Linked DNA regions of Oryctolagus cuniculus. The protein of the gene in region 2 binds, or shares a complex with, the protein of the main gene of each other region. Links are inferred from orthologs where the notes say so. Each region holds a gene or a part of one and is shown on either strand. Other genes may lie near its edges. The genes, in order: DRC12 and GAS8.

Region 1 (4,322 bases), on a different chromosome or scaffold from region 2:
CCGGAGCCCTGCTCAGAGCCTGCTGAGGGCCGCTGAATCAGCCCCAGAGGGCTGGATGGCCTTTCCTGTCTCTAGAAATCCGGTGGTAGCTGGAACAGGTGCTGTGGTATAGTGAGTAAAGCCACTGCCTGCAGTGCTGGCATCCCATATGGGCACCAGTCAGGTCCTGGCTGCTCCACTTCTGATCCAGCTCTCTGCTATGTCCTGGGAAAGCAGTGGAAGATGGCCCAATGCCTTGGGCCCCTGCACCTGCCTGGGAGGCCTGGAAGGAGCTCCTGGCTCCTGGCTTCGGATCAGTGCAGCTCCAGCCATTGTAGCCAACTGGGGGAGTGAACCAGTGGATGGAAGACCTCTCTCTCTCTCTCTCTCTCTCTCTCTCTCTCTCCTTCTCTCTCTATGTAACTCTGACTTTCAAATAAATAAATAAATCTTAAAAATAAAAGACACCTGGGGGCAGGGCACCCCACCTCTTATTCTTTCTCTTTCTCTTTCTGTTTTTTTTTTTCTTTTTAAGTATTTATTTTATTTATTTGAAAGGCACTGTGGCAGAGAGAGAGAGACAGAGACAGAGAGAGAAAGATTGTCCATCCACTGATTCACTCCCCAAATGGCTGCTATGGCTGGGGCTGGGCCCCAGTACTTGCACCATTACCGGCTGCTTTCCCAGAAACATTAGCAGGAGTTGGACTGGCAGTGGAGCAGCCAGTGGGATGCTGGTGTCGCAGGTGGTGACTGAACCCATGTCACCACAATGCCCGCCCCTTTCTGTCTCTCCAGGTTGTTGGGTCATTTTATTTTCCTAGGATCTCATGAGCTTTTCATTGCTAAGGAGTAAAACCTCCCTCCATGTTCTGGCTGTAAATAATAGCGTCCCTCATCAGCCTTCCCTGTCCTGTTCCACTAGGGGATGGTTAGGGTTTGGCGTAGCTTCCACCGTGGCTCCAAACGTCCAGTCCCGCCAGGACACAGCAGCGCCCCCACTGCTCTGCTTCTGTGGTCCCAGATAGCTCACCCTTCTTACCCAGCCGGTCTCGGAGCAGCTCCGTCTCCAGCACCAGCTGTCTGTGCTTGGACTCGGCCTCCACATCTGTCCTGGCAAATGACAGAGCCTTAGCTTACATGACCCCCGCCCCCGGCCCTGGACTCCGTCCTGAGCCAGCTCTGAGGGCTCCCTGCGGGCAGAGTCCATTCAGCATGCACCGTGTGCTCCCTGCCCAGCACAGATGAGGCATTCAACATATGGGTGACCAGTGGGGAGGCACAGAGCTGGGCGGTCTCGAGGGAGGGCGTGGGTGACCATTCCCCCATTCCTCAGCTCCGTGGAATCTGGACAGCGAGGACTGTGCTGCGGGCCTCTGCTTGGTCTCTGTTTCAGAACCCAGAGAAACGGGCACCCACCCCCACCCACGACGACTCACCCGGCCCTGGGTTCTTTTTCTTCTTCTGCACGCCGGCTTTCCTGCCTTTCTGTTTGGTCTTGGGTGGCATTTCCTTGCTGTCCTGATGGAGGGAGGGGACCTTGCTTTCAAATCTGGACAAGGGGATCCTGAACCAGGAGTCTTGGGAGGGTCAGAAGTCTGCTTTCCAAGTCTGCCCCTTTCTCTTGTTTTAAAGACACAAGTCTTTCTTTTTTAAAGATTTATTTATTTCAAAAAAATATTTATTTAGTTGAAAGCCAGAGTTGGGGCAGGGGGTGGAAGGAGAGATCTTCCATCTGCTGATTTAGTCCCTAAATGGCCCCAGTGGCCAGGGTTGGGCCAGGCAGAAGTAAGGAGTCTGGACCCCTGATCTCCCACGTGGGTGCCGGGGCCCCAGGACTTGCCCATTCTCTGCCGCCTTCCAGGCACATTAACAGGGAACTGGATCAGAAGTGGAGCAGCCAGGACTTGAACTGGCACTCGAATGGTACTTTAGAAAGTTCGTGGGATACAGACTGGGCATTCGGTCTAGTGGTCAAGACGTCCACAGTCCATATCAGAGTGCCTGCTGCACTCCTGGCTGCAGCGCCTGACTTCTGCTTCCTGCTGCAGAGACTCGGGGAGGTAGCAGGGTGATTCAAGCAGGTGGATTCTTGCCACCCCCTTGGGAGAACTGGACTGAGTTCCCAGCTCCCAGCTTTGGCCAGGTCCAGTCCCAGCCATTAGGGGAATTGGGGGAGTGAACCAGCAGATGGGGCCTCTGTCTGTCTTTCTGTCGGTCTCTCTCTGACTCTCAACATAGTTACAATTAAGGGAGAAATGAGAACAACAACAACAACAAAAGAACAAAAAAGTTAATAGAAAATACAGTTAAATCCATTCACAGTTTCTTTCTTTTTTTTTCTTTTTTCTTTTCTTTTTTTTTTTTTCTTTTTTTGACAGGCAGAGTGGGCAGTGAGAGAGAGAGACAGAGAGAAAGGTCTTCCTTTGCCGTTGGTTCACCCCCCAATGGTTGTTGCAGCCTGCGCGCTGATCCGAAGCCAGGAGCCAGGTACTTATCCTGGTCTCCCATGGGGTGCAGGGCCCAAGCACTTGGGCCATCCTCCACTGCACTCCCTGGCCACAGCAGAGAGCTGGCCTGGAAGAGGGGCAACCGGGACAGAATCCGGCGCCCCGACCAGGACTAGAACCCGGTGTGCCGGCGCCGCAGGCGGAGGATTAGCCTAGTGAGCCGCGGCACCGGCCCACAGTTTTTTTTCACAATACACATGTTCTATGAGCTTTTTGAACATCCCTCAAATATACTTGGAAGAATTTTTTGCACCAAAATAAGCTTGTCTTTTAATTACATTTCCCACAAACCTTTACTTTCCAGAAGCTTCAGTTGCCGGTCTCCTTGGAGCCTCAGGCGGGGCTGGGGTCAGTGGGGAAGACACTGCATACAGAAAGCTGTTACTCTCAGCTCTCTTGGCGAAGATACATTCCCATAGCTGTCCCCTCCCTCTTGCCTTCATCCTTACCTCACCTCCACCACTTGTCAGACCCTCTCTTGCCTGTGTTGGGTCTCCCTGTAGAGTGAGCCACTCGTGGGGAGAGACAGAGAGAAGGCCCAATAAGCTAGGAGCCTGAGGAGGAGCCTGCGTCCTGGGAGCCAATCCAAGGCAGCACATTTTCCTCAGGGGGCTGGACTGAGAACTGGAAGGTTGGGTTTCTGGAGGTTGCATGTTGCCCAGGCAACTGAGCAACATGGAGTTCATGAGAAGGTGCAATAGGCCAGATCAACTCACAATGCCTAAAAGACCAAGGTCTGGGAAAGGTAGTTCTCCTTTCATCCACAAATCCTAAGCATAGTTTGAAAAGAAAGGGCTTTGGAGCAAACTAGCTGTGATTCACTTCCACGTAGGTGCTGTCATTTGGAGACTCAGAAATGACAGATTTGCACGGCTGAGACAACACTGTTGTGCGGATGTGGAGGAAAAGCGTGATGGCAGCCGTCTTGGACGATCCACATCCTGAGATCCTATTGCAAGATGACCTTGTGCTGAAACCGGAAGCGTCCCTTCGGCAAGGCATTCTGCAGGGTGCAGGAGCAGGTGCTGGGGCAGACTTCCAGAAAAATGAGACACAGAGGAGTGAGGACCCGTAGACTCTGGGGTATTGGCTTGGCGGGATGGACACTGGTTAGGGACCAAAACTGCAGCACAGGCCCCCTCTCTGGAGGTGGAAGCTATTTAACTTGGTTTAGCCTGCTTCCTGCCTTTTACATCACGGAGTTGGTAAATTCTGAAGGTCCTGGGTCTTGACTGGGTATTTACATGACTGTCTTATTGCACCCACTGAATCTATTGCCTTTAGGTGGTTGATTTTCAGAAACTACCTTGAGGGGCTCCCTGTACCATAGAGTTGGTTGGGGCTCCCTCTAGTGGACTCGCTTGTATTCCCAAGTCTGCTAAATTTTTTTTTTATATAGATTTATTTCATTTATTTGAAAGGCAGAACGACAGATACAGAGAGAGACAGAGATCGTCCATCTGGTTTTCTCCCTAAATGCCAACCACAGCCATGTCTGAGCCAGGCCGAAGCCAGGAGCCCAAGACTCCATCCAGGTCTCCCACATGGGTGACAGGGGCCCAAATGCTTGGGCCATCAGCTGCTGCTTCCCAGGCGCAGTAGCAGGAATCTGGATTAGAAGTGGAGCAGCTGGGACTCAAACCAGCACTCTGATATGGGATGCCCGCCATGCAGGCAGTGGCTTAACCTTCTACGCCACAGTATCTGCACAAGGTTTTTTATTTTGGATTATCTCTGGGCAGTGTGGGACTGAGTCCCTTTTTGAGGTACTTCCTAGCATCTCGCTAGAGTCACAGTGGTTGGGAAAAATGAGTCTGAGGAATAGGGACTGTC
Region 2 (3,802 bases):
AAGCCGGCCTCTCACACAGGTTGGGTAGCTTGGCCCCTCACGGCAGCCCTTTTCATCGCCCTGTGTCACGTTCCTGAGCACTAGCCTAACTGCACAACGTGGCACTGTCCATCGTGCAGGTGGAAAGGAGCCGACCTGCTGCCCAGTAGTGGCCCTCAAGGGGGAGGCAGTGTCGTGAGCCTCTTTCTAGACATGGTCTTCTTCCTGTGTGCTTTACTGTAGAAACTGGGATTGTGTTGTAACCAACACTTGCATTTTTTTTTAAAGGTTTGTTTATGTATTTGAAAGTCAGAATTACAGAGAGAGAGAAAGAGAGATATCTTCCATCCTTGGTTCACTGCCCAAATGGCTGCAGTGACCGGAGCTGTGCCAGACTGGAGCCAGGAGCTTTTGCCAGGGGCCCAAGCACTTGGGCCATCTTCTGCTGCTTTCCCAGACACATTAGCAGGAAGCTGGATGGAAGAGGAGCAGCCAGGACTCGAACCAGCACCCCTAAGGAATTCTGGCTTTGCAGGTGGCAGCTTAATCCGCTGCGCCACAGCACTGGCACTGCTTTTGACACTTGTGTGATGTCTTCATTCCTGTACAACACAGTCAGTAGCAGAGTTAGGAGAAGAGGAGAGTAGTTCTACCACTGGGCAGTGTGCTGGCTTCCAGACTGGCCATTGTGGGGTGCGTCGGCAGCAGTGGGATTCCAGGACCGCTCAAGGGGCCCCCCACCTCATAAATGCTTCCTGCTGGCAGTTAGATGCCTTGGATTTCACACACAGGTGGTCAGGGACAGGTGTCACTTGAGGTCAGAAGCAGTAGCTCAGGCTGTTGACCACTTGTGGATTGGCTTTTAGCTGGGGCTGCTCCAGCTCCCACCAGGATGCCCCTTTGCTGCCTGAGACCTTCCTGGGGGGCAGCATGTGCCCAGCAGGGGCAGGGGTGGGAAATGACCTCTCGCCAGGGACATGTCTGCAGGTAAGCGTCCTCGATGCTTACCCCAGTCCCGTCTCTGCAGGTACAACAGGAGCGCGATGAGCTCTACCAGAAGTTCACGGCCGCCATCCAGGAGGTGCAGCAGAAGACGGGCTTCAAGAACCTGCTGCTGGAACGCAAGCTGCAGGCCCTGAATGCCGCTGTGGAGAAGAGGGAGGTGCAGTTCAACGAGGTGCTGGCCGCCTCCAACCTGGACCCTGCCACCCTGACGCTTGTGTCCCGCAAACTTGAGGTAGGCCTTGGGCAGGCTTCTGAGGCGGTGCGGGCCAGGCTGGCCAAGCGGTGGGACTGCTCACTGCTGCCCCGTGCCTGTGTGGGCGGGCAGAGACCTCTCAGGTGACCGCAGGGGAGCTGCTGGTGGTGGCCTCTCAGGCTGTCGTTGCCAGCTTGTGGACACGTCAGTGGGGCTGCAGGCTGTCAGTCTCCCCCAGCCCCTCCTTCCTTCATGGTGCCTGAGACTCAGCCCCTCCCACTGCAGCCACCCAGACTGGCTCACGTCAGGTTCTTGTTACCTGAGCACAGCATGAGGACGGGTTCTCTGCGGGCCTGAGCTCTTCAGCGACAGACCCAGACACAGGCCTGGGGAGCAGCTGCGTCCCTGGGCTCTCCACCTAGGAAAATCACAGCCCCGGGGGCCCCCAGGAGAGGGTGGGTGGGGAGAGCCTTAGGTTGGTGGAGCAGGGGTAGTGAGGTCTCAGCAGACCCAGAACATTCACTCATTTGTGTCCATTGTTGCCTGCGGTGTTGCTCTCCTGGCCCTGGCATGGTGGGGGCAGCCTTGGCCCCCAGCAGACAGCTCGGGGATAGAAGAATCTGAAGCCTCAGACAGCCTCGTAGCTCAGCTTCTGCTGGTTGTCCAGCTTCCACAGCTAGGCCTGCGTCCATCCCCAGTAGCAGCAGGTGCAGCTCCCGCAGGGGCCCTTGGAGACAGACACAGGTCCTCAGCCTCTGGCTCAGCTGCTGCTCCCAAATTGGGCACAGCTGATCTCAAAGCCTGCAGCCTGCCCATCGAGGGGAGTCCCTTGTCCCTGAGATGGACCCTTGTGGGGCCAGTGGACTCCTCTCTGTCCCTCCTCCTTGTGCTGAGGTCGTCAGAGACACAGATGGCCTGGTTACAGATTTGAAGTGTCCTCATAGTTGATGGAGGGGTTTTGTTTTGTTTTGTTTTCCCCTAAAGATTTATTTATTTCAAAGGCAGAGTTACAGAGGCAAGAGAGAGAGAGAGAGAGAGAGAGATCCTCCATCTGCTGATTCACTCCCCAAATGGCTGTAATGGCCAGGGCTAGGCCAGGCTGAAGCCAGGAGCCAGGAGCTTCCTCCAGGTCTCCCACATGGGTGCAAGGGCCCAAGGACTTGGGCCATCTTCCTCTGCTTTCCCAGGTGCATTAGCAGGGAGCTGGATTGGAAGTGGAACAGCCAGGACACAAACCAGTACCTGTTTGGGATGCCAGCACTGCAGGTGGCATCTTTTTTTTTTTTTTTTTAAGATTATTTATTTATTTGAAAGAGTTGCAGAGAGGCAGAGAGAGAGAGAGAGAGGTCTTCCGTTCGGTGGTTCACTCCCCAAATGGCTGTAATGGCTAGAGATGTGCCGATCCGAAGCCAGGAGACAGGAACTTCTTCCAGGTTTCCCACGTCGGTGCAGGATCCCAAGGACTTGGGCCATCTTCTGCTGCTTTCTCAGGCCATAGCAAAGAGCTGGATTAGAAGTGGAGCATCCAGGACTCGAACCGGTGCCCATGTGGGATGCTGGCACTGCAGGTGGCGGCTTTAGCCACTATGCCACAGCGCCAGCCCTGACAGGTGGCATCTTAACCCGCTGTGCCACAGCACCGGCTCCTGTGGAGGTGTTTTATCCTGAGAAGTATTACAGGTAGCATTTTTCAGGTGATTTCATCCACACACTGTTCAGTAGAATGTGAATGCCCAGCACTGACTTTGTGTCGGGCCTCCTTGTCTGTTTGAAGGGAGACATCGTAACAGGGCCCTCAGCTGCACCTGTGACTTGAAGTGATGGGAGCCCCGAGTTGTGGACATGTAGACTGGCTCAGAGAGCCGGAGGGGAGCAGATGGCCAGTGCAGCATGCATGCGAGCAGAGAGGTGTAGGGGTAGGGAAGGCCCCTGCTTGTGGCCAAGCACAGGGGAGCAGCAGGTGCAGGCCCAGAGGGCAGCTCTGTTTGCAGGACCTTGGATTGCTTGGAATAGGCTAGAATAGGCTGTCAGGCCTGGGATGGTGCAACCACACAGGAGGGGAGGCAGCAGCACGGCCCTGGCATTGGACACTTGTTTCCCCTCTGCTCAGGATTGGACCCCTGTCCTCCGGGCAGGGCTGGTCTCCAGGAGCACAGGCAAGTGTGGGAGTGAGGTCCTGCTTTTGGCAGCAGGTGGAGGGACCTGCCCGTCTTCCTCAGGAAGATGGCCTCTGTGCTGCCGATGGAATGGCCAAGTGTACCTGGGCCAACTCTGCTGAAGTGTTAAAAGTTAGGCGCCCGTGCTGTGGCATACTGGATTAAGCCTCTGCCTGCAGTGCTGGCACCCCTTATGGGCTCCAGTTTGAGTCCCAGCTGCTCCACTTCTGATCCAGCTCCCTGCTGATGTGATGTGCCTGGAAAAGCAGTAGAATGTGGCCCAAGTGCTCCTACCTAGGGCCCCTGCACCCTGTGGGAGACCCAGAGGAAGCTCCTGGCTCCTGGCTTTGCGGCCATTTGAGAAGTGAACCAGTAGATGGACGATCTCTCTGGCTCTGCCCCCCACTTTCTTTCTCTAACTGCCTTTCAAATAAATAAGTGTTTTTTAAAAATCCATATTTTTTAAAGA

What was found.
Region 1: GAS8 (region 2) and DRC12 share a complex: the UniProt entries of both Homo sapiens proteins name them as parts of the nexin-dynein regulatory complex. The link is inferred for Oryctolagus cuniculus from reciprocal best matches to the Homo sapiens genes DRC4 and DRC12.

The regions. Positions count from the first base shown.
Region 1 is NC_091432.1:111,112,695-111,117,016, reverse strand, and holds the start of DRC12 (dynein regulatory complex protein 12), read right to left. Parts: upstream 3,001-4,322; 5' UTR 2,939-3,000; intron 2,854-2,938; 5' UTR 2,781-2,853; intron 1,501-2,780; 5' UTR 1,489-1,500; coding exon 1,419-1,488; intron 1,088-1,418; coding exon 1,022-1,087; intron 1-1,021. UniProt on the Homo sapiens protein: Component of the nexin-dynein regulatory complex (N-DRC), a key regulator of ciliary/flagellar motility which maintains the alignment and integrity of the distal axoneme and regulates microtubule sliding in motile axonemes.
Region 2 is NC_091449.1:69,576,721-69,580,522, forward strand, and holds part of GAS8 (dynein regulatory complex subunit 4), read left to right. Parts: intron 1-1,006; coding exon 1,007-1,216; intron 1,217-3,802. UniProt on the Homo sapiens protein: Component of the nexin-dynein regulatory complex (N-DRC), a key regulator of ciliary/flagellar motility which maintains the alignment and integrity of the distal axoneme and regulates microtubule sliding in motile axonemes.